Cricetulus griseus: one gene and its partners. The protein of the gene in region 4 interacts with the protein of the main gene of each other region in a pairwise test. Links are inferred from orthologs where the notes say so. Each region holds a gene or a part of one and is shown on either strand. Other genes may lie near its edges. The genes, in order: Amot, Tnfaip8, Txlna, Med4, Kifc3 and Ushbp1.

Region 1 (3,500 bases), on a different chromosome or scaffold from region 4:
AGAAAACAAGAAATCAGACTCCAGAGGTTTTCTGTGACCAGTACAGCTCCAGTGCACGTGTAATGACCTCGGCGATTATTTGCATATAATTTGTATAAGACAAATAAACCCCATGGCCTATTAAGCAATTTTCAAATTAAGTCTTCCTCCTGTAACCACCCTGCATTTCTTCTCAGTTTGCCACTCTTCTTGAACAAAGCTCAGGGTGTGTTAGGGGGTGAAATAAACAAGCGCCCAATGGAGGATGGGGGAGGAGACACAGCGCAGTTACAATCAACTCCCATTCCAGCTGCCCCCATCTTCAAAATCCTGCTGGAGACAGGACTGCCTGCAAACAAATGAGGCTTACAGCACTGAAAAGAGCAGACTTGAGAGTGTTGTTCTCCTTGCAGATGGCACCCAGATAGCAGCACAGAAGGTGAAAACTGGTGAATGGCATTTAGAGACAAGATCTGCAGGGCTTGTGCCTGATGAGGCTTTTGCATGAAATTCAAGTGCTGGAGAGGAGAAAAATAAACATTTCCATTTGAAAGAGCAGGCTTGGTGTTGGTCTGCAAGAGTCAGCCAAGAGCAAGTGAGGGAGGCTTCCTGCTTACAGCCCAGAAGCCTCACCTAGACGACAGTCCCTTTTCTCCAAGTGCACAGCCTGCTTGGGAAGGATCTGGTGTTGCTAATCCTTCCCCTCTCCCTTGTGGAGATACTGTCCTCTTGCAAAGAGCCATGCAACAAGGCCTTCTCAGAAAGGCCAATAAAGGCAGATTCACTGACTCGGTGTGGGTGATGGAAGAGGTGAAACAGAGGGAGAGTGGCAGGGGTGGGGGTGGGGTGGGTTGGGAGTTAGGGCTTGCTAATTCTACTTTCTGTCCTCAGGAGCCTCCAGTGCTCGCTTGCTCTCCCGCTCTCTCTCTCTCTCTCTCTCTCACTCTCTCTCTCTCTCTCTCTCTCTCTCTCTCTCTCTCGTCTCTCCCTTTTTCTTTTTCTTTCTGTCTGTCCTCCTTTCTTCCTCTGTTTCTTTTTCTCCTTCCTTCCCTTCCCCCTTCCCCCTTCCCCCTTCCTCCTACCTTCCTTCTTTCTAGCTCTACCATCTACTTTCATTTTCTTCTCCCCTCCTGTCACCTTTTGTGAACCCCAGCATTGGCTTGGAACTGTTTCTGCAGACGCGCAAGCCATAATTGTCATTTTCTGACATACATCTGCACAAGGACCAAACAATAAACAAAATTCCGATTTTGCTCCCTGCACTAGTCACCCAACCCAGCTCCAAGTGTCACCAGAGATCATTGACAAAGAAGATCTGAGCTCAGTAACCAGTGATTATGTCAAAGATGAGGCCAGGCCAACCCAAATTAAAAGTTAGGGGAGGTCTAATCAGCTAAACAGGGTTTCTAGTCAATACACAAAATTCATGTACATGTACACCATTAATGCAATAAGGGGTATTTTCAAACTGACAAGAAAACATAAAATCAAGACAAAGTAATAGCTCTCAATCCATCATAACCTTCAACTGGATTTGAGGAAATTGAGAAAGGGGGCATTTTTTTTTTCACTATATAAAAACCACTTAACTATGGAAAATTAGCCCTCTTCTCTTTTAGGTAAAAGATCTGGTGTTGGCAAGTTCTCAGCTTCATGCAGGCCCCTGAAATTTCCACTCTTATGTCTTAGGGACAGAGTAGGGCAACTGTCCTTCCCTCCCCGCCTTCAGCCTCGAACTTCCTTAACAGTTTGCAAGGAGATCATGCCACATGAACTCTGCATGGCCAAAAGCTACAAAGAAGCTAACAAATGCATAATTCTATTTACTAATAGCCACTAAGGCAAGAACTGAGATTTGGGCTTTGAGGCCCTCAAAAACTAAAGTCCCAGCTACAGCAGACAGTGGGGGTAAGGGGAAGAAGAAGGAATGGGAATTTGGGACACACATTCCTTTTTCTATTTCCTCTGCCTAGGGCTGTCACCTGTCACCCAGCTGTGGTGCTAAATCCCTTTTGTGCACCCCCCCCCAGACACACACACACACACACAGACACACACACACCAGAGAAGGAGCAGATGTTGAAGTGGATCTGTGGAGAAAGACCAAAGCAAACGTGGGGAAGAGGGCTAGTGTCAAAGAATTATGAAGAAAACTACCACAAGGAAGAACACTGTCAGTCTCTTCCTGAACCATACAAAATCTCAGCTGGTGGGATTTTTTTCTCGATTCAAAATCATATGGGGAAAATATAAACAAGACAAAAAGCGTTTAAATGCTGGCGGGCTTTCCATGAGCACAGACCTACTAATACTCATTATTAAGAAGTATATCTGCTGACTTTTTGACTAGGACAATGAACTAAGTTTTCTTAAGAGTTATAGAGTTTGGAACATCTGTAGTATTTTTCTTTTAGTATAAATGTAACATGTTACTTCTCTTAAAGAAAGGGGGAGACAAAAGACGGAAGTGAGAGTGACCCTGATGAAAGTACATGATATGCATGTGTGAAAATTTTATCATGAAATCCATTATTTTGTATCATTAATGTATGATAATAAAAACAGTAAAAGGCAGTTATCTTAGGCAGATAAAGCTTTTTTTCTAAAGTTTGACCAACATCAAAAAAAGAATGTCAAAGATCTACCCGTAAGAGATAGTAAGCACACACAGATGAAACATTTTTTAACGGGTATTTAACAACTCCCACTAGAATGATTCAAAGAAGTCTCTATTGACCCTTAAGGGGAGCCGTACCTTCTGTAGTCTCGCCACCTTCTCATAGCATGCATCCAACTCCTGCCGCAAGTTCCGATTCTCATCAGAGAGGATCTCAACCATCTGCTGAGCTCTAGAGACGATGGCAAAAGGATCAGCTGGCATGGGCTGATAAGAAGCAGACTGCTGAGCCCGAGGCATAGCTGAGTAGGCTTCTCCTGGCTGCTGCTGTGCTGTTGGAGGAGGCAACGTGGACTGGGAGAGACGATAGTGGTCCCCCTGGTGACTCTGATTAGGAAGAAAATGCTGCTGCTGCCTTGGCAGGTGAGTAGAATGGTCACCTTGGTTTGAGACCAAGGCGTGTTGAGCAGGAGACAATCTGGTAGATGGTGGAGACTGCAGCAAGGAACTCCCAGATGTAGAGGAAGATGTCGGGCTGTGAGGCTGAGAATTCCTTGCTGCCAAAGACAGCGAGATGTCCTGTGTTGTCCTGAGAAAACACAGAAGGCAAGCTCTGGTTAAGTTTGCTCCCAAGGCACATGAAATAACACAAGGAGATATCCCCCAAATTCAGAGAAGTGAGAAGGAAGAAGAATTAGATCCCCATGAAAGAACTCTAGAGTTCATTCTTACCGAGACATTTTGTGACTCTGTCCAACAGCTACTACTGCTCACTAGCTATGATCCCCTTGGAGATGAAACCAGATAACCTCTGAGGTAAGTATGAAAACCTTAAGATGGCTATCTCCACCTTCATTGCTCAGTCGTTTAAAATTCCTCTTGTACAAAGTAATGCTCATGGCAT
Region 2 (3,988 bases), on a different chromosome or scaffold from region 4:
CAGACCCCTTCGCTCTTCATTCCTCTCTCTCTCCAACTAAATTCCAGATTTCAGCTCAGTGTATATTTGTGGATGTCTGTCTCTGCTTCCATCAGCCACTGGATGAGGACTCTAGTTCCTGGGTCGGTCGGCGGAAAGCCACTTTGTTTATAGTACCTTCTGCAATACCAGCCAAATGTGTGAATTATATATTGTTTTTATCTGTGTTTTATAGATGAGCAAATGGATGCTTGAGGGGTTAATTATTATTAATTATTATTTTGCTTAAGGCCATATAAATAATAAATAGCAGAACTAAATCTAAACCCAGATTTGAAAAACATGGGCACTTTGCATAATCCTTTCATTAAATTTAGCATAGGTCCTGGACCGCTCTCTCCCCATATAAAAGTAAGATATAAGGAGAAGGAGGGCAGCTGGAAAATACATTTCTTAAAGAATGTACCTCTCCTCACAATCTCCAGCTGGGGATTCCTTCCCATTGGCTGTTTCCTTTCAGGTTCCTTGAGGCCCCTCACCCTAGGGTTGGTGCTAAAACAAGGTTTGATAAAATAAATACCCCGCAAGACAGGGAGGCCAGTGGAAGCGGCTGTGCCCACCTCTCTGAAGGGCAAACAGGGGCCACCCAGAGCTAAGAGGACTTTGGTGGTAAGAGCCAGGTGGGGACGGGAGGGGAGGGGAGGGCAGGATGGTTGCTGTTCCCTGGGCCCTCCTGCCCTTTGCCCGTTTATCTTCTGTCAGTCAGCATTTCCCAAAGCCAGAGAGGTCTTTAGGGACCAGCAGCTTGGTTAGAGGGAGCCAGCGATGCATAGGGGGCTTCTGCCTCGCCTGTCCTACTTTCCTTAGAGGCCATTTCTGGCGCTGGTGAAGTTTGTGCCCTGTGAACGGGACCCTTCCAAATGTTCTCACAGCATCTGTATCACTAGCCTGAAATACAACAGCCCTGAAAGGGTTTTCATAAATCGGGCCATGTAAAAACTCAAGACGGGGAATGTCAAAAATGTCACTCTCCACACCCCTCCCAAATGCAGCGCAAGCTTGTCCCGGTGCACTTCTCTCCAGGGCACCTTTCCTGCGCTGGGCCCCACCTGCCGGGGTCTCCTCCACCCGCGGCGGCCCCTCGGGGGCGGACTGCTGTGGCCCAGCCCCGCGCGATTCGTCACTCCTGCGGAACTTTCCCCTGAAAATCCCTCCCGCAGCCAGCCGCCCGCCCCGGGAGGTTCTGATCTCAGCGGCTTCCTCCCACCGCGTCCCGCCTGCGCGCATCACACTCGTCCCGGAGCCTCGCAGCCTCACGTCCATGTCCGCGGTGGTGGCGCCTGTGGCTGTGCACCCCGACAGCATGCTCTCCGAGGTGGAGGAGCCCAAGGAAGGTACGCCAGCCGCTGGGCTCAGCCAACTTCAGCGCAGGAATGTGGAGGAAGGCGGGAGCAGGCGCTGATGGGAGCAACTAGCGAGCAGTGGGGAACTTTGTCTCTCCTCAGGCTGGCTGGATTCAAGAGAGTCCAGGGAGCAGCCCTGTCCCACTAATCGGGCAGTTAAGGGACAAGGGATCCAGCATCAAACCTAGCCAAGCCAGCCCACCAAAGCTGCTTTTCAGATTTCTCTCGAAAGGAGAAAGCGGGCTTTCACTGTTAAGAATACAAAACGCTCCTGGAATGGGCTGCCTGTCCGCCTGCCTGGGGACAGCCCAAAGCTGGATTCCCAGGAAGAGTCCAAGTCAGGGTCCCTTGAAAAGGGGTGTCAGAAATTGGAAGGGACATGCATTTCCGGGTAAAAGAGGAAGCTGGATGAGGAGAGAAGTGAAAGATCTTTTTTTTTTGGGGGGGGGGGATATGTTCGGTTTTTATTTATTTATTTTTTCCTTGCTACCTCTTCTGCAGTTGGTTTTGCTGGGGACTGGAAGATGTGAGGGTGCCTTTTTACCATTTGAAATAGGAAAGTTTGTCCCTTTCTGTCTTTGGAAAAGCAAGAGTTTCATTTACTGCTAACAGAGCTGGTGACAGGGCTGGAAAAGCTCCAACCAAAACACTATTATAGCTGGTGTTAGCTTGGGAGTTTATTTGTGTGTGAGTGTTTGTGTGCTTTGTTTCCTGGAACTTTATATATACAAAAGTCCACTTGTGAATGGGGGTTGGAGTCGGGGTGGTTGGGGAAAATTAGACGGGTGGGGGGAGTTCAAGGTTGTGAAATCCCCCTTTCTTTTCAAGTAGCTTCTTGGGAGACTGCTAACTTACAAGTCAGTCACAGCTCGGGCTGAGCAAGGAACCTTCTGCGTTTTGCAATGTAGGCTTTCCGTGTGGCCCATGTACCTAGCAATGTGTGTGAGAGAAACTGTCAATTGAAAGGGGCTTGTTTAATAGAAATACTGGCCAGCCCGCATGAAAAGTGACAGCTTTGGAGAGGAGTGTTTCCCTGTAGCAGCAGCCCCTGTACCAACAGAGAGTGCGGATGTGTGTTTTCTTGTTCTGTTTTGTGCAATTTACGCGGAGTCAAAAGGAAATTGGAACTGGACTGAGAAACCACTCTTGAACTTTTTTGTAAATTGCACAGCGCTTAGATTAACATTTTCTTCCGGGCCTGTTATTCCCTGTCTTTTGGGAAAGGAGTGGAGGGGGGAGTGAAAAACTGCCAGGTCAACTGTATTAAGCCTCCCTCTAGCAACAATCCACACTCTCCCCTCTCTTTGCTGGCTCTGGCTGTGAGTTTGCAAGCAGCAACATGGAAACTGTGGTGTAGTGGGCACCTTTCACTCCTTCCATTCCTTATCTGCCCTTGCCTGCAGTAGCTACCTGACACACAGGCTTTGCTCTCTGCATTTTAGAGGAAGCTCAGAATATGTGTTTCTTTTGAATCAATCTGAGCTGCTAGAATTTTAAATTGATAGAAGTTAGGGTAAGATTTTCTTTTTTAACTAAGTCTGAGGAAAATTAATGACCAGACTGATTGACACTTCTTCTAGGATGTGTGTGTGTGTGTGTGTGTGTGTGTGTGTGTGTGTGCGCGCGCGCGTGCCAGGCTGGTATTTTGTGGGTTCTAACCTTCTCACCTCCCTTCACTTACAGTTTATGGGGTTCTTTTCCCTGGTGGCAGACTTGTCTATCTTGTTTAGTGAGAGGTCACCAAGAGCCCTTCATACTGTCTGAATTGAAAGAAAGTTGCCTTTGGATGCTTCATATCCAATCTGTTGTAGTGGTGGATACTTTGGATTCATTATTCCAAACCCTAGTAAGAGACTAGTGTACTTTCATTGGGGTTGAATCTGGAAAAAAGACCATCAGATGTAGAAGCCCTTAGAGGCCAATTTATTTATGCATGTGCATGAGTGTCGACGACTGTGACTGGGGAGATTGTTCAGCTTTCATAGCTTAGAATGCACTTGACTCTGTGCCAGCAGTAGCTCCCGCCTATAGTCACCTAAAGAAATGCTTTCATTCTGCCTGCTTGTCGGTAGGTAAGTGACTGAGCTTAAAGTGATAAAAACAATCCAGGATCTGCTATATGAAAAAGGAAAAGCATTTAAGATATTTAGACATAAAGTAAATGGGAAGTAGCCAGTTTATTAAGGAGGAGAATGCCTTTGAAAAGAGGATATCAACAGTTTCCTGTGGATACAGGCTTCCTGAGGAGACAATTAATATCCACATATTTGGCATTTAGTTGCTTCCTGTTGAATACATTGCTTAATTATGAAAGTAGTAAAAATGAATGATAGTTGAGATCACTGAGGATGAGTTAGACATAAGCACTGAAGAATCCAAGATTCCTTTGCCTTGGAAATCAATCGGGGTTTCAGTAGTGGTAATGCAAAAGCTATTATTGCTTTGTGAGGACCTGGGAGAGAATTAAGGGCTGGCAGGCAAGTGAGTACCACTCTCTCCTCCATTGCCCACACCAACCACTTCCCTTTACCACCTAACATAGGTCATTACTGCCTCACCAGTCCCCACCATGAGCATGGTGGCCATTAGACAATCTTCTGCTTGCA
Region 3 (4,114 bases), on a different chromosome or scaffold from region 4:
ATAAAGAAAAGCAAAGACAAGAAAATCCTACTTTTTAAAACTTTAGCCCGTGTGCAAGCACAAGAGACTTTGCAGAAAGTGGAGCAGCGGTGATGGAGTGGGAGTTCACCAAGTTGCCGGAAGCCAAACTCCCTCTGCTACAATCCCTTCCTGAGAGAGCTACTGCCAAGCTGGTGATGACAGAGGTGTCCAGTACACTGCCTCAGAGAAAGCCTGTGACGGCGATTATTTCTTCTGGGAAGAAAGTGGTTAAGATGGGTGCTGGTGTCAGGCTTCTGGCTTTGAATCTGCTATTACCACTCAATATTGATGCAGCCTTAGATTATATAACCTTTAGCTGGGCATGGTCGCCTTTGTCTTTAGTTCAAGACCAGTTTGATCCTCATAGGGAGCTCCAGGTCAGCCAAGGCTACACATAAGGAAACATTGTCTCCAACAGACAGCAAGCAATTAAAAAAGCCATCTCGCCTTTTCCATACTGTCCTATATTTCCTAGATCACAAAGTATCCTGTACTTTCTCCGAGTAATTATGAGGGCCAAGCTATTAGATACAAGAAGAGAAGACAGGGGCTAGAGAGATAGCTCAGAGGTTAAGAGCTCTTCCAAAGGTGCTGAGTTCAATTCCCAGCACCCACATGGTGGCTCACAACCATCTGCTATGAGATCTGGTGCCCTCTTCTCATGTGTAGATATACATGGAAGCAGAATGTTGTATACATAATAAATAAATAAAATCTTAAAAAAAAAAAAAGAATAAGAGAAGACAGTGACGCCGGGCTTTGGTGGCGCACGTCTTTAATCCCAGCACTTGGGAGGCAGAGGCAGGAGAGTTCGAAGCCAGCCTGGTCTCCAGGATGTGCCAGGATAGGCTCCAAAGCTACACAGAGAAACCCTGTCTCCAAAAACAAAACAAAAACAAAACCCCTCTGTTGGAATGGGGGGGGGGATAGAATGCCAGGCACATGACAAATTACTGGTTTAGGAGTGGAACAAAGGTCTCCTAATTCCCAGCTCAGCCTTCTATCCCTCTTCGAGTCCTCAGAGGTCCTAGAAACAGTCATACACGTCCACAGGGATCAATGGAGAAGCGTATGAAACAAACAGCCAAGCGCCAATCACAGCTTCTGCACTCGAAAGGATACTGACGGGAATCTCTAGACTGTACTGCAGAATTTCAGACCTGCAGCGGGTAGAGACCCTAAAAAGGGAGGCATCTCGGGAATTGTGCCCCGCCGCAATGCATGAAGGGACTCGTAGTTCGTTCCCGCTCACGACTCCAAAGCCACCTTGGCCTCGTCTTTCCCAGCAAGCTCCGCGCCAGCGTTAGCTCTTCATTGGCTGCGGCAGGAGCGGGCGGTCCTGCTGGCAGCGGTTACCCGGGTTTCCGGTGCCCGGCCAGAGCGGGGGACGCCATCGGACGTCCGTGGTGAGGTACGTCTGTTGGCGGTAGGTGGGACGAGCTCTTCTGAGGGTCTGTGGCCCAGCTTGCGTTGGCTGCAGAGGAATAACTAATTCCGTGCGGGGGTCTGTGGCGATGTCGCCGCCTTGCGCATGCGTCCGTGGGGCTAGAGGGCGCGCGGGGTGTGGGTGGCTTCCGCGCGGGCTGGCGGGCGGGCGGGCGCGCGCGCCCGGGGGTCCCACGTGGGGCCGGGCCGGGGGCCGGTGGGGGCTGGAGCGTCCCGCCACGTCATCGTGCGGCGGGGAGCCAATCCCGCGCTCGCGTTCCGAGAGGGAGCGGAGTGGTGCTGCTGGGAAGTGGCTTTCGGGAGAAAGGAGGCCTCTTCTTCACTCTCCTCAGGGCCAGCTCCTCCGACACCCTCCCTGCAGGGACCCTCGAGTCTCCGCCAAGGCCGGCCAGTTTGTTTGAAGCTTGGAGCGCCTGGCGTTGGGATTTCTGATCTAGGTTGTGAAATTTTTTGAAGTCTTGAAAATAGCAACTGTGTCGTCTTCAAAGGATCTACCCGTTTTCTGCCTTTGCAGATCACAATGAAGAACCAAGACAAAAAGAATGGGCCTGCCAAACACTCCAACCCGAAGAGCAGCCCCGGGCAACGGGAAGCGGCACCAGAGGGAGCCCAGGGACGGCCCAGACAGACAGCTCCTGCGGCGGAGGCTGAAGGTTCCACAAACCAGGCTCCTGGGAAGACCGAGGGTGTGTGCCTGCTCTGCTTTTCCAGTGGGCAGAGGGAGGAGTTTCTGGGACTGGCCTCGGTGCTGAGGCCAGTGTTTACCCAGGAAGGAGGAACTATGGAATGAAACAATACCCATTCTGTGTGGGTCTCGTGTTTCCCAGGCAGGTGATGAAGCTTCCCTCCCTTAGCCCTGGAATGGAACCTTGGGAGCATGCTCTGACTGGTTTAAATTAAATGACAACTGAGGCACCCCACAAACAAAGTCATGTTCCCAGAAAACACTTGCCAGTGTGTGGGGGGGGGGTAATTGTCCTTCATACTTGAGACATTTCTGGAACTATAAAAATAACCAAAAATGCGTTTTGAGTAGGAAAAAAAGGAATTAGAGGTGGAGTCTCTACTACATGCCACCCAACCCTGGTGTGGTGCTTTATCTACATAGTTGTCTTTTTTGTTTGGTTGTTTGGTTTTGTGTTTTTGAGACAGGGTTTCTCTGTGTAGCCCTGGCTGCCCTGGAACTCTGTAGACCAGGCTGGACTTGAACTCACAGAGATCCACCTGCCTCTGCTTCCCAAGTGCTGGGATCAAAGGCTAGCACTATTACTTCCCAGCCATAATTGTCTTTTATGGTCATAAGAAGTATGTTTGGGTGATAATAATTGTATCATTTTATAACAAAGTAAACTTAAGGTTTGAAAAAATTAAACTGAGGCTCGGCGTAGTGGCCCTCTCTTTTAGTCCTAGCTCTTGGGAGGCAGAGGCAGGTAGCTCTCTGACTTTGAGGGCAGCCTGGTCTACATAGTTCCGGGACAGTCAGGGCTCTGTAGAGAGATCGTGTCTCAACCAAATAAAACAACATTTATCCCAAACTAGTGTATTTGTCTAGGGTTAAAGAAAAAGAAAGTTCAAGCCAGGGATGTAACCATCTTATTTTCATTCTGTGTCCTAATCTTGTTGCTGTAGGGGCTCAAGCTAAAGCAGCCAAGTCTGGGCCCCTGTGTGATGTGTCTGAGGAGCTGAGCCGGCAGCTGGAAGACATTCTGAGTACATACTGTGTAGACAACAATCAGGGAGGCCCAGGCGAGGAGGGAGCACAGGGTGAGCCTACTGAGCCGGAAGATGCAGAGAAGTCCCGAACCTATGCAGCAAGGAATGGGGAGCCTGAACCAGGGATTCCAGTCATCAATGGCGAGAAGGAAACCTCCAAGGGGGAGCCAGGCTCAGAAGAGGTCCGAGCAAGTGATGAGGTTGGAGACCGAGACCACCGAAGGCCACAAGAAAAGAAGAAAGCCAAGGGTCTGGGTGAGAGGGCAGCTACTGGTGAGGGGAGGGAGTTAAGACCTGTCATTTCATGAGCTAGCCTGCTCTGTCAGAACTCAAAGGAATCTGCTTCTCAAAACAGAACATCCCCCAGTTTAGTCAAAGCCATGACTGTGGAGTAACAGCATTGAGCTGTTCAGATTGCTCACCTGGGCAAGGCCTCTTGTCCTTGGAAGCAAGTGAAGGCAACCTGCTCTTTTCCTGTGGACATGTTCATGCTCCACTCCTGGGTCTTAGTTTCCCTATTTAGAAAGCAACAAAATTGGGCTACACCAAGGTAAAGATCTCAAATGTCAACATTAACCAGGTAAACCATGAACCTCTTGAGAATGAAGAGAGGGTCTACTTTATCCAAAAAATTAACTTCTACCTGTTTAGTTCCCTGCCTTCCCCCCCTCCACCCCCCCCAGGGTTTCTCTGTGTAGCTTTGGAGCCTATCCTGGCACTCGCTCGGGAGACCAAGCTGGCCTCGAACTCACAGAGATCCACCTGCTTCTGCCTCCCGAGTGCTGGGATTAAAGGCGTGCGCCACCAATGCCCGGCTGAGTTCCTTGCTTTCTTTTCTTTTTTCTTTATTTTTAAATTTATTTACTTATTACATATACAGTATTCTGTCTGCATATTTGCCTGCATATCAGAAGAGGGCACCAGATCTCATTTA
Region 4 (2,702 bases):
CTATTTTCTCAACTCAGGTGCTATCTCCTCAGAAGAAATCATTAAATATGCACATAGGATTAGTGCAAGCAATGCTGTGTGTGCACCACTGACTTGGGTTCCAGGTAACATTGCTTCTTATGTCAGATTAAAACTATTTAAATGTAGAATGTACTTCTCTAAAACAACATCTCTAGGCATTTTTTTTCAGTGTCCTAGTAATGCCCTCTGTGGCATCTCTCAAGAGGATGTATCATTGTTGATGTTTCTTACTAGGAAATAGAATTAAGTTGGAAGAATTGAGATTGCTATAATTCGCCTACCTCTGCCTCCTGAGAGCTGGGATTAATGGACCATGCCCAGCTTGAGAATTTTCAATGCAGCCAGGCTAGGTGTGGTACTGTAAAGGCAACACCTGGAGAGGCCGAGGCTGGATTGCAAGTTTGAGGCCAGCATAGGCTACATAGTGAAAACCCTGTCTCACAAAGAGCTTGAGGCTTTCAGTGTGCACCAAGGAAAGTTAATACTTCAAAGAACTTATCTTTTGTTTTTTTAAACTTGAGTTAAAAAGCTGCCTTCATTGTTGTTTTAGGAGACCCTCGGAGGCCGTACCCAACTGATTTAGAGATGAGAAGTGGATTGCTGGGTCAGATGAACAACCCTTCCACGAGTGGTGTGAATGGCCATCTCCCAGGGGATGCCCTTGCAGCAGGTAGACTGCCAGGTAATGCTGACAGGAAGGGTGTTTTCAAGCAGACCAAGGGTTTTCAGAGGTGCCAGCGAGGCGTTGTCTAACATCGAACTCTTGAGATCCCAGGCCCAGCCTTATTCATCTACTTGTTTGTCCAGGGTCCCTGCCAGTTTGTTATTCTGTGCTTGCTTTAGCCAAAGACCCTGCAGTGGCATTGCATGACATGAGCCTAAGCTGTCCCCATGTGCATCTCCTGCCACCCTCCCCCCAGCACAGGAGCTTTCCTTGATGACAACGAAGAACATTTTCCATCATGAGGCGTGCTCCCCAGATAGACTAAGCATTTTTGTAGGTGCCATGTTGTAATGTAAAAGGATCTTTCTAAAGAGAAAGGACATGAGTGGGGGCTATGCTTTCTGAAGCCCATTTTTAGCTTTAGCTATCTCTTCTGTACTAAAGTGTGGATTTGGGAACTCTGTGCTTATTAATTCCCAGACATTCCTTGTCTTTCTCATTGCAGTTATACTACACTGTTGGTTATAATCCTTTTAAGACAAACAACACCAGTAATTTGAGTAGGAAAGTTGAAAGGATTAATTAGTAACAGATATGGATGAATAGCTATTATGTATAGGACCATGGCACAGGACCCATGGCTGGGGTATAATGGACATAATTTGTTGTTTGTGTGTGTTTAGCATGGATGGGCCCCTATCTTGTTAGACCTCTGGTACTACAAGGTAGGCGGGTAGATAGAATTAAGTTACTTGCATAAAGGGAGGGTGATTGACAAGTAGATGGATTACAAGTAAACTGATCCCCATGCTTCTTTCCTCCAGATGTCCTTGCTCCACAGTACCCATGGCAGTCAAATGACATGTCTGTGAACATGCTACCACCAAATCACAGCAGTGACTTTCTGTTGGAGCCTCCTGGGCACAACAAGGAAAATGAAGATGATGTGGAGGTTATGTCAACAGACTCTTCAAGCAGCAGCAGCGACTCTGACTGAAGAAGGCGTGAGAGCACGCACAGACTAGTGCTGCAGAGCCCTGACAAGAGGGACATGTAAACCCCAGACCTCTAAGGAGCAGCCCACTGAAAACCATTTGGGGTTCTTTTCAATGCCCCCCCCCCCCATTTTGTCTCATCTGCTAGGCAAACGTGTGAGGATTAGTCAGCATTACTACTTTGGTTTGCACATAGCAGCTCTGGAAGTGAGGCTGCAGGAGAATGACACAACTCTCGGGAATGACTTGAAAGGGCACCAAGCCAGGCGTGGCGGCTCATACCTATAATCCCAGCACCAGGGAGACAGGGATTGCTGTGAGACCTTCATAGTAAGTTCTGAGCCATCAGGGCTACAGAGCAGTCCGGGCCAGCACAAAGGCAGCGGGGCTCTGAGTGTGGTATTTCAAAGTGAAAGTGCTCACCTGAGAGTCGGCTGCTGTTGCAGCGACAGAACTATCACTATTTATATGTGGTAAATACTGTAATTTGTATAAATAAACTTGCTTTTGTTTATTTTTTAATTTTCCTGTTGTCTGATTTATGTATGTATGTATGTATGTATGTATGTATTTTGGTACCCCTTCAGTATAAGAAGGAAATTTACTTAAATCCAGTTGCATCTAAGCTGGGCAGTGGTAGCACATGCTTTTAACTCTAACACTCAGGCAAAGGCAGGCAGATGTGAGTTGGAGGCCAGCCTGATCTACAAAGCCAGTTCCAGGACAGCCAAGGCTACACAGAGAAACCAGTCTTGAAAAACAAAAAAATTCAGTTGCATTTTATAATATTCAAGTAAGATTCTGTTATATATCAGAAAATACAAGATAAAATGACTATATCTTAACTAGTAATCACAATTAGGTTTCTGAGAACATTAATAATTGAAAACATTTATTACAATCCCATACCACACAGACACACAATTTCATGGAAGGTTTTAAAATAGAAGGGTTGGGGGAGAGCAACCAACCAACCTTTGGCCTTGTTGTCCTGCAAAGTTCTTGAGGACTCCAGAAGACCC
Region 5 (3,970 bases), on a different chromosome or scaffold from region 4:
CAAGACAATGTTTCTGCTTTTATACTCAAACTTTAATGACAGACAACCCCCTACCCTATGAAAAGAGCCTCCAATAAAGGAGACAATGCATGCTTCCAGCTGGGGCCTAAACCCTTGTGCCTGTCTTGGTTCAGATTCTTGACTCCCAGTCGCATGTCTCAGCAGCAGAAGCAGGAAACAGCTCATCTGAACTGTTCCCTCATAAGCCATCCTTGCCAAGCCAGAAGGGGCAGACCCCCCATGCTTGCTGCTTGCTTCGGAGGTTCTCTGGGGATCATCAGCTTCTGCTGGTTAGGCTCCTGCACCACTTTCTCCTTCCGCACCGTCGAGTGGGCACACTGTGGCTGAAATAAATGCTTCTCTGTTTGGGAGACAAAGAACAGAGTGGTTCCTCTGGGTCAGCTGTCTCTCTTGCCTGGCTGGGCCTGCTCTCCCCCAGGCTTCTTCTGAGGCTCCCAGGCGTTCCAGGAGGAGCGCTTAAGGCAGATTGGGGGCTGTTGCACTCTGAGCTGTTTGGCTGGAGCTTAAGGGAATGTGTTACCTTAAGGAACCCCAAGCAGGCTTCTCAAGAAGATGCTCATTGGCTGGGGAGCAGGGGCGCAGCTGGAGAGACAGTATGGCAGGCAGGACCAAGACAGAGAGAGTGCATGCCCGTGTACCAGAACAGGTCAACGTGTGTATATGTTTGATCTCGTGTGCAAGAGCATGCGTGAGTGTGCTAGAATGAAAAAAATGCATTCTTAAAATGTTATTCTGTGTGCCGGATGTGTGTGAATCTTAGCTGGAGTGTGTGAAACTTCTGCACCTGGATTAGGGGCAGAGTGCCAACCATTTGAGGGTGAGTGTAACCAAATGTTAACACCTGGGTGGGAAGGCGAGGCCTGCGTTCCTGCAGGCTGGGTAAGGGCAAGTGTGCAGGCACTGCGGTGTGTGCAGGCACTTTGGCGTGAGCCTTCTCCAAAGGCGCAGGCAGGTGTGCTGGGGCGCGTGCACCAGAGGGAGAGCGCAGAAGTTTTATCAGCCTGTGTTGGGGGTAGGAGTAGAAGGGGCATGCGCCCCGGGCAGGCGCGTGCGCGAGAGTGAGCGTGCCCCCTCCCGAGCCCGTTGCCATGGAAACGCGCCGCGGCCTGAGTTAATCATTTCCTGTGGAAAGTGCGGGAGGGGCGGGCGCGGGGCGGGCCGAGGAGGAGGAGGCGGCGGCAGCTGCGGCGGCGTGGAGCAGCCTCGCGAGGGCGGGCCGTAGCTGGCCGAGCCCTGGGCTCTGCGGCGACGCTGTGATCCTGTCTCCGCTAGGCCGGTGAGTCGGGGTCCGGGCAGGCTAGGACGGGTTGGGACCGGCTCCCCTAGCGCGTCTGGTGGGCACCGCGCCCACCCTGCCCGGGGACCCCTCTATCCCGATCTACGGAGGGCGCGGCGTCCGGGCCCGAGAGAGACCCGGCTGTGCGTGGGGTCCCGTTGCATCCTCCAGCTGAAGAATCTCGCTGGGCTTGAGGGTGGCACGGCCTTTGGGGTCGCGCTGCCTGGACTCGCTTTGGATCTCATTGGTGGGGAATGTGCAGAGCCTACCTGGGAGCTGCGTGTCAGCCAGCGCGCCCCCTTCCCCTGCATGGGTCGCTCCCAGGAAGGCTGCAGTTTGGCCCTCCCTCTGGGTCCCTGGGTAGTTGCTTTCTCTGGCCAGGCCCAAGGTGGGGTGCGCCAGTCCCTAGGTTAGGAGGAAAGGCATCGGAGATAACCCTCACAAGCCCAGACGAATCAAGTCATTGACAGCTGCAGCTGAGGAATCCCGGCAGGGAGGGGGAGCCCAGAAGCTGTCTGTCCCCTTTCAGCCTTCCTACTGCAAGTAAGAACGGAATTCTGGCCGACACAGTGAAAGGCCCAGTCCTGAGACAGTTTAAAGAGGAAACTGGATTTTAATTCTTAAGTACATTTGTCACCCCATCCCACCCTCTTTAATGCATATGTCAAGCTTGGGCATTGGAACTACCCCTAGCTTCACCTTCCTTAGTGTCCTTCTGCCCCAGACTGGGCGAGTGCCCTTTCTGGCCTGGTAGGATTTTTTCCCCTGTGCCCTTCATAAAGGGGCGTCTCCTTGGCCAGAGAGAGTCATTTGCTAGGAATGCAGCCCCAAAATGGTTCTGTGTATTTGTGGGGCTGGACTTCAGGATTTGGGGTGGTGAGTTCTGCTGTCCGGATGGGTTCCAGGGAGCAGGGAATTTGACATCTGGATTACCCAGAATATGTTCTGTGTGCCAGGGAAACCCTAGCCCAGTCTAGCCACCCCAAAATGCTCACCCAGGAGAACCAGGCTATCTCCAGCAGTGGTGTATAAGCGACTATGAAGTATACCCCTAGTCTTTGCACTGTCTCTGGTCTAGAGCAGGAGGAAGGCAGCTCTACCATCCTGGCCTAAACCCAGAGAGACACATACCCCTCCCCCAATGTGCCTCTGCATTCACCCACTAATGGGACAGTACACCAAAAGATAGCATTCTGAGCTCTTTGTACACTTCACACATGTATTGTCTGATGTTCATGCCGGTCCTATGAAGTGCAGCTCTCACCATTTTATACATGGAGGTGATAAGACAAAGACTAGGTGATTAATTCTCATAGGTGGCAGGGCCAAGGCCTGGACCACTCTCATAGATCTACTCCATGAATTCCAGATTAGTAGAGGCTCCAGGACCCCAGATAAGACACCTGTGTAGGAGAGCCTGCGCTGCTGTCTCGGTGTAGAACCCTGGGCTTGATTGAGATTCCCTGATATTCCTGACCTCACACCAGGGTTTCCAGCTGCTAAATTCAGCTGCCTTTTCCTCTTGGGGATCTAGCACACACCCTTCCTCTTTCTTCAGGCTGCCTCTCCAACTTCCCGTCCTGCTGGCACAGAAATATGGTCTCCAGCCTCTACCTCCTAGACTGAGCTGATGTCCCCTAGAATCAATCCTCTGTCCTACGTGGTCTCCCCTGTAGGAGCACCTGCAGAGGACGGTCCTCTCATCATCCCCCGTTGGCTATAGGGTTGGCTCTATGCCCAGCTCTGTGCCAGTCAGCCTGGAGAGGACATTTGTATCCATTCTTCTTGCTTCTTCCCCCTTACACACATCTCAAGGCATCAGCGCTGTGAGGCTACTTATATGGGTCAGCATCTTCCTTACCCTTTGTCCCACATTCCTGTCCCCCTCTCATTGTGTACCCCACATTGTCTTCAGTCAAGGAAGGAAGAGACCACGACCCCACTGTCTTCAGTACTTGACCCCGTGAGCATCAGTCTCTGACCCCAGACTCTTTCTTTTCTCCCCACCTTGCTTCTAGATGCTTTGTTCCTGCACCTCTGTCTACCCCACAATGCCACCTCTCCCCTGTCTCAGTTCCTCTCCTAACCATCGTCGCTAAACTTCCCCCAAAGAAGAAAACAGCTGCCTTCTAGGCCCTCTCCAATTCCTTGAGCCAATTTGAACTTGCTTTGCAGCCTAGGCTGGCCTAGAACCTGCAACCTTTGAGTGCTGGGATGGTAGGTATAACCCCCCACCCAGAATTCTCTAGGGCTTTCTTTGGCTTTGCCATGACCACCTGACTATCCTACTTATCTGCCCAGCTTCTTCTGAGGACTCTGTGCATGACATAGGCAGCTCCTGCCACCTCTCTGACCTCCTCCCTCTTCCAGTTACTGTTCCCACCCCTCCACGCCCTCTTCACCCCAGCCTTGTCCTTACTTAATACTGTCTCCCATCTTGGTCAACCTTGCTGATTTCGTCCTTACCTGTAGCAGTCGTGGCCTTTAGTTCTGAGTCTTAGTGGCTAGCCGGTCCTCCTTTCCTGGCTTTGGGGTGTGTGTGTGTGTGCGTGTGCGCGCGCGCGCGCGCGCGTGCGCACATGCATGCATGCATGCCTCTCACTCGCAGGGAGCCAGAGAGGGTGAGAGAGACAGACCCAGTTCAACACATGTTCTTGCTGCCTGGCAGGAGAT
Region 6 (3,500 bases), on a different chromosome or scaffold from region 4:
AGTCTGATCCCCCATCACCTGCAGGTGCTGGAGCTAGAGGATTCCCTGAGGCAGCTGGAGGCCTCCCCGGCTGTCCTCCTCCTCAGAGCGGGGCATACCAACAGCAACTCCAGCAGTTCTGGGGCAGAAGGGGAGCCCTGGGTGCCTCAGGTAAGCCAGAAGTCTTTAGAGCATGTCGTGGTGATGTCCTCTGCTTTTCCAGTGTGAGAGGATGGGGGTAAGCTTCAATTTGTGCTTGATGGGATCCCATAGTGTTGTGTGACAAAACTTTTCCTGGGGAGACACTATACACGTCAACTCATCCCATATAGGGAGCCCATGTTACACAAAAGCACAGACACAGCCAAAGTCCAACTTGGTGGTTACATACAGGATTACGGGTGAAGGGTCACCTACAGGAGCTGAAATGACTCAGAGAGCTGCATCACCAAAGCCCACCCCAGCATGGGTGACAGCTCACAAAGCTGGAAGCCTGGAGCACACTGCACAGCCTGCAAATTGGAGTATGCCATTCCAGTGACTGGTCTAAATCTCTTCAGCACAGCTGGTCTGGTCTCTAGTCTTCTTTGCAGCCAATCAGCTGGTCTCTTAAGAACTTTCCTTACTCTGGCAGGGAGGGACCTAGTGAATCTGCTCAGTTTCAGGGACTTCCTGAAACTGTTTGGAGTTGTTTATCATCCTGCCTAAGGAGCAGGTGGAATGTTTCTATCTCAGAGGAAACTGTTAATACAACACATAGTGTGAAAAAAAACCTAAGCAGAGCCTGGAGAGATGGCTCGTTGGTTAGGTGTGCTAGCTGCTCTCACAGAGGACCAGATCTAATGCCCAGAACCCAAATGGCAGCTCACAATCATTAGTAATTCTAGTTTCAGGGGATCTGACGCCCTCTTCAGGGCTCCACAGCCACCAGGCATGCACATGGTGTACACAGAAACTTGCAGGCAAAACACTCACACACATGAAATAAAAATAAAAGAGAAAAAGCATAAAACACCAGATTGGTTGTCACCCCACAGTCACCAGCTGCTTAGGGGCCTGAGACAGAAGGATCGTGACCAATAAATTTATCAAGACCCTGTCTCCAGATTAAAAAATAATAATAAGCATTGGTGAGATAACACAGCTGGAAAGGGCACCTGCTGCCAAGCCTGGTGATCTGTGCTCAATCCCTGGAATTCCCAGAGTGGAACCAGAGAACTGAGTCCCATAAGTTGTCCTTTGACATCCATTCATGTGTCATAGGCATACATCCCACACACGTGTGCATGCACACACACCAAAAACACAAACCAAAGCTGCAGTGGTGCCCCAGATATATAATATGTTCCAGGGCCCTGCAAAAAGGAAGAATGATGGGTAGTAAATCAAGTCATGTACTCCTGGCAGGACTCCCCCTTGGCTCATCCTCTTCTCCAACCCCTCCAGAGTGACTCTAGCACCCAGATCTTTGGGTGCCATTCCAAACATCGTTCAGCCCCCGAGATGCACCTTATAGAAGATCAGATGGAGCAGCTCCAGGGGTGAGTGGCTGAGTCACAGCTGCTGAGCTTTTAAGGGCATCATGCTTCCCGCTACTGGGTTGTGAGGGGGTGGGGAAGAAACTGGGATCTAGCTGATTGGACCCTCACTCATCTTCCCTCTTGCCTGCCTTTGGAGATAGGAGCATTGAGAAGTTGAAGTGCTTCAATCGCCTCCTGCTGGCTGTGCTCCAGGGCTACAAGGGCCGCTGTGAGAGCCTCAGCATGCAGCTGGGCCAGAGGGAGGCTGAGGCCACAGCCCTGCGCCTGGCCCTGCAATATAGGTCTGTGTCTGCTACCAATGATGGTGGTGGCTGGGGACGAAATGGGGCTGCATCCCAGGATGGCCCTATGCAGAGGGACATGGGGACTTCAGAAAGCACACTGCCTCACCATGAGATCTTGTTCTAACCCATAAACTATGGAGGGTGGGAGCTGTCTTTTTGTGGTTTGTTGCTATATATTTATTTGAGACAAGGTCTCACTGTGTAGCGCCAGCTGGCCTGGAACTTGCTATGTAGCCCAGGCTGGCTTTGAACTCACAGAAATCTGCCTGACTTACTGGGTTGGGGCTGAATGTTGAAACACTCAAATGCCATCCACAGTGAGGATTGTGAGGAGGTATATGGGGTGCTGCTTGCTCTGAGGATGGCTGACTCAGGAGCTGGAGATGAAGCCCCCAAGAGTGACCTGCAGGCTGCTGAGAAGGAGGCAGCTAGGCTGCTGGTGGAGAAGGAGGCAGCTATGGATGGAAAGACACCCCAGCCCAGGTACTTACAGGAAGCATAAGAGCTATGGTGGTCCACGGGGTGGGGTGGGGCATGTCCCAGAGCCTGCTACATATAGGATTTTGATGTCATTGTCACTGTCACTGCCCAGGGAGGTGCTGAGTTCATCATGGCTGGCACCAGGCCTGACTGGAGTGTGTTAGTTACTCAGTGGTGCTTAGTTTGCCTGACACCAGGTGTGGTGACAACATGCCTTTGATCCCAGCACTCAGGAGGCAGAGTTTGAGGAGTTCAAGTCCAGCCTGGTCTACATAGCAAGTTCTAGGCCAGCCTAGACCTTGCCTCATATGTGTGTGTGTGTGTGTGTGTGTGTGTATACATATATATGTGTGTATACACACATATATATATACATATATACATACATACATACATATCTTATACAAAGTACCAATTGCCTTGCATAGATGCACAGACCCTGGTTTCAACCTCTAAAGCAGGGGGGGAAATCAGTGAAGAGAAAAATTATTAATTTTGGTCAATCCATCATGGCAACAGGAAGTGGGAAGCAGAGCTACAGGAAGTGTCCGGGGCATTGGTGAAGCCCTGTGTGGACTTGACAGGGTTAGCAATACAGCTCTAGGTACTGTCCATCACAGTGCTGGTGAGCTTCTGGTTTTGTCTCTGCACTGCCAGTGCAGCCTCAGTGTGCACGGAATTAAGTTCAAAGTCCCCTGGTGGCCTGATTAGCATGTAGGCTCCACCACCTGGCTATGTAACTGAGGGTGATGCTCCTGCCTCCATCTCCTGAGGCTGGGTTGTATATATGGTACCTCACGAATGCAAGCTCTCTATGGACTGAGCAACAAGCACTCTACTGACTGAGCCCCAGCACCTGCCATATTATCTTGCTGGAAGATTGCCCAGCTGGCACAGGACTGTGGTGGCTCCTCGGGCCGTGTCTTGGGAACAGCTGTATAACACCTGTCTCCACCTGTCTCCTATAGCCCAGGGGGCAGCAGTGTTGACAAGCCTACGCCACAGGAACTAGCTGCTCAGCTCCATGGCTATGTCCAGCGTCTCCGGGAACGCTGGGCTCTGGTGAAGATCCCTCCACCTCTTGGCCCTGCCACGGCACCCAGGCCCACTATGCCCCACACAGAAGCAACAGTTCAGGCCATTCTGGAGATACAGCCTGGCCCAGCCCTGCCCCGGCTAGAGAAGTCTGAGATCCAGCAGAAGCTGGTGGCTATTC

Evidence for each region.
Region 1: the proteins of Med4 (region 4) and Amot interact in binary tests that used the Homo sapiens proteins (3 or more experiments, as listed by UniProt). The two-hybrid records come from large-scale screens. The link is inferred for Cricetulus griseus from reciprocal best matches to the Homo sapiens genes MED4 and AMOT.
Region 2: the proteins of Med4 (region 4) and Tnfaip8 interact in binary tests that used the Homo sapiens proteins (3 or more experiments, as listed by UniProt). The two-hybrid records come from large-scale screens. The link is inferred for Cricetulus griseus from reciprocal best matches to the Homo sapiens genes MED4 and TNFAIP8.
Region 3: the proteins of Med4 (region 4) and Txlna interact in binary tests that used the Homo sapiens proteins (3 or more experiments, as listed by UniProt). The two-hybrid records come from large-scale screens. The link is inferred for Cricetulus griseus from reciprocal best matches to the Homo sapiens genes MED4 and TXLNA.
Region 5: the proteins of Med4 (region 4) and Kifc3 interact in binary tests that used the Homo sapiens proteins (3 or more experiments, as listed by UniProt). The two-hybrid records come from large-scale screens. The link is inferred for Cricetulus griseus from reciprocal best matches to the Homo sapiens genes MED4 and KIFC3.
Region 6: the proteins of Med4 (region 4) and Ushbp1 interact in binary tests that used the Homo sapiens proteins (3 or more experiments, as listed by UniProt). The two-hybrid records come from large-scale screens. The link is inferred for Cricetulus griseus from reciprocal best matches to the Homo sapiens genes MED4 and USHBP1.

Annotation. Positions count from the first base shown.
Region 1 is NC_048604.1:35,457,639-35,461,138, reverse strand, and holds part of Amot (angiomotin), read right to left. Parts: intron 3,186-3,500; coding exon 2,735-3,185; intron 1-2,734.
Region 2 is NC_048595.1:188,304,521-188,308,508, reverse strand, and holds the start of Tnfaip8 (tumor necrosis factor alpha-induced protein 8), read left to right. Parts: upstream 1-1,188; 5' UTR 1,189-1,300; coding exon 1,301-1,373; intron 1,374-3,988. UniProt on the Homo sapiens protein: Acts as a negative mediator of apoptosis and may play a role in tumor progression.
Region 3 is NC_048595.1:23,392,968-23,397,081, forward strand, and holds the start of Txlna (alpha-taxilin), read left to right. Parts: upstream 1-1,314; 5' UTR 1,315-1,432; exon of another isoform or gene 1,433-1,447; intron 1,448-1,981; 5' UTR 1,982-1,987; coding exon 1,988-2,153; intron 2,154-3,096; coding exon 3,097-3,435; intron 3,436-4,114. UniProt on the Homo sapiens protein: May be involved in intracellular vesicle traffic and potentially in calcium-dependent exocytosis in neuroendocrine cells.
Region 4 is NW_023276807.1:228,022,090-228,024,791, forward strand, and holds the end of Med4 (mediator of RNA polymerase II transcription subunit 4), read left to right. Parts: intron 1-17; coding exon 18-104; intron 105-571; coding exon 572-703; intron 704-1,509; coding exon 1,510-1,682; 3' UTR 1,683-2,202; downstream 2,203-2,702. UniProt on the Homo sapiens protein: Component of the Mediator complex, a coactivator involved in the regulated transcription of nearly all RNA polymerase II-dependent genes.
Region 5 is NC_048596.1:171,341,685-171,345,654, reverse strand, and holds the start of Kifc3 (kinesin-like protein KIFC3), read left to right. Parts: upstream 1-1,170; 5' UTR 1,171-1,297; intron 1,298-3,970. UniProt on the Homo sapiens protein: Minus-end microtubule-dependent motor protein. Involved in apically targeted transport. Required for zonula adherens maintenance.
Region 6 is NW_023276806.1:247,616,872-247,620,371, reverse strand, and holds part of Ushbp1 (Usher syndrome type-1C protein-binding protein 1), read left to right. Parts: intron 1-24; coding exon 25-150; intron 151-1,386; coding exon 1,387-1,520; intron 1,521-1,660; coding exon 1,661-1,801; intron 1,802-2,122; coding exon 2,123-2,287; intron 2,288-3,252; coding exon 3,253-3,500.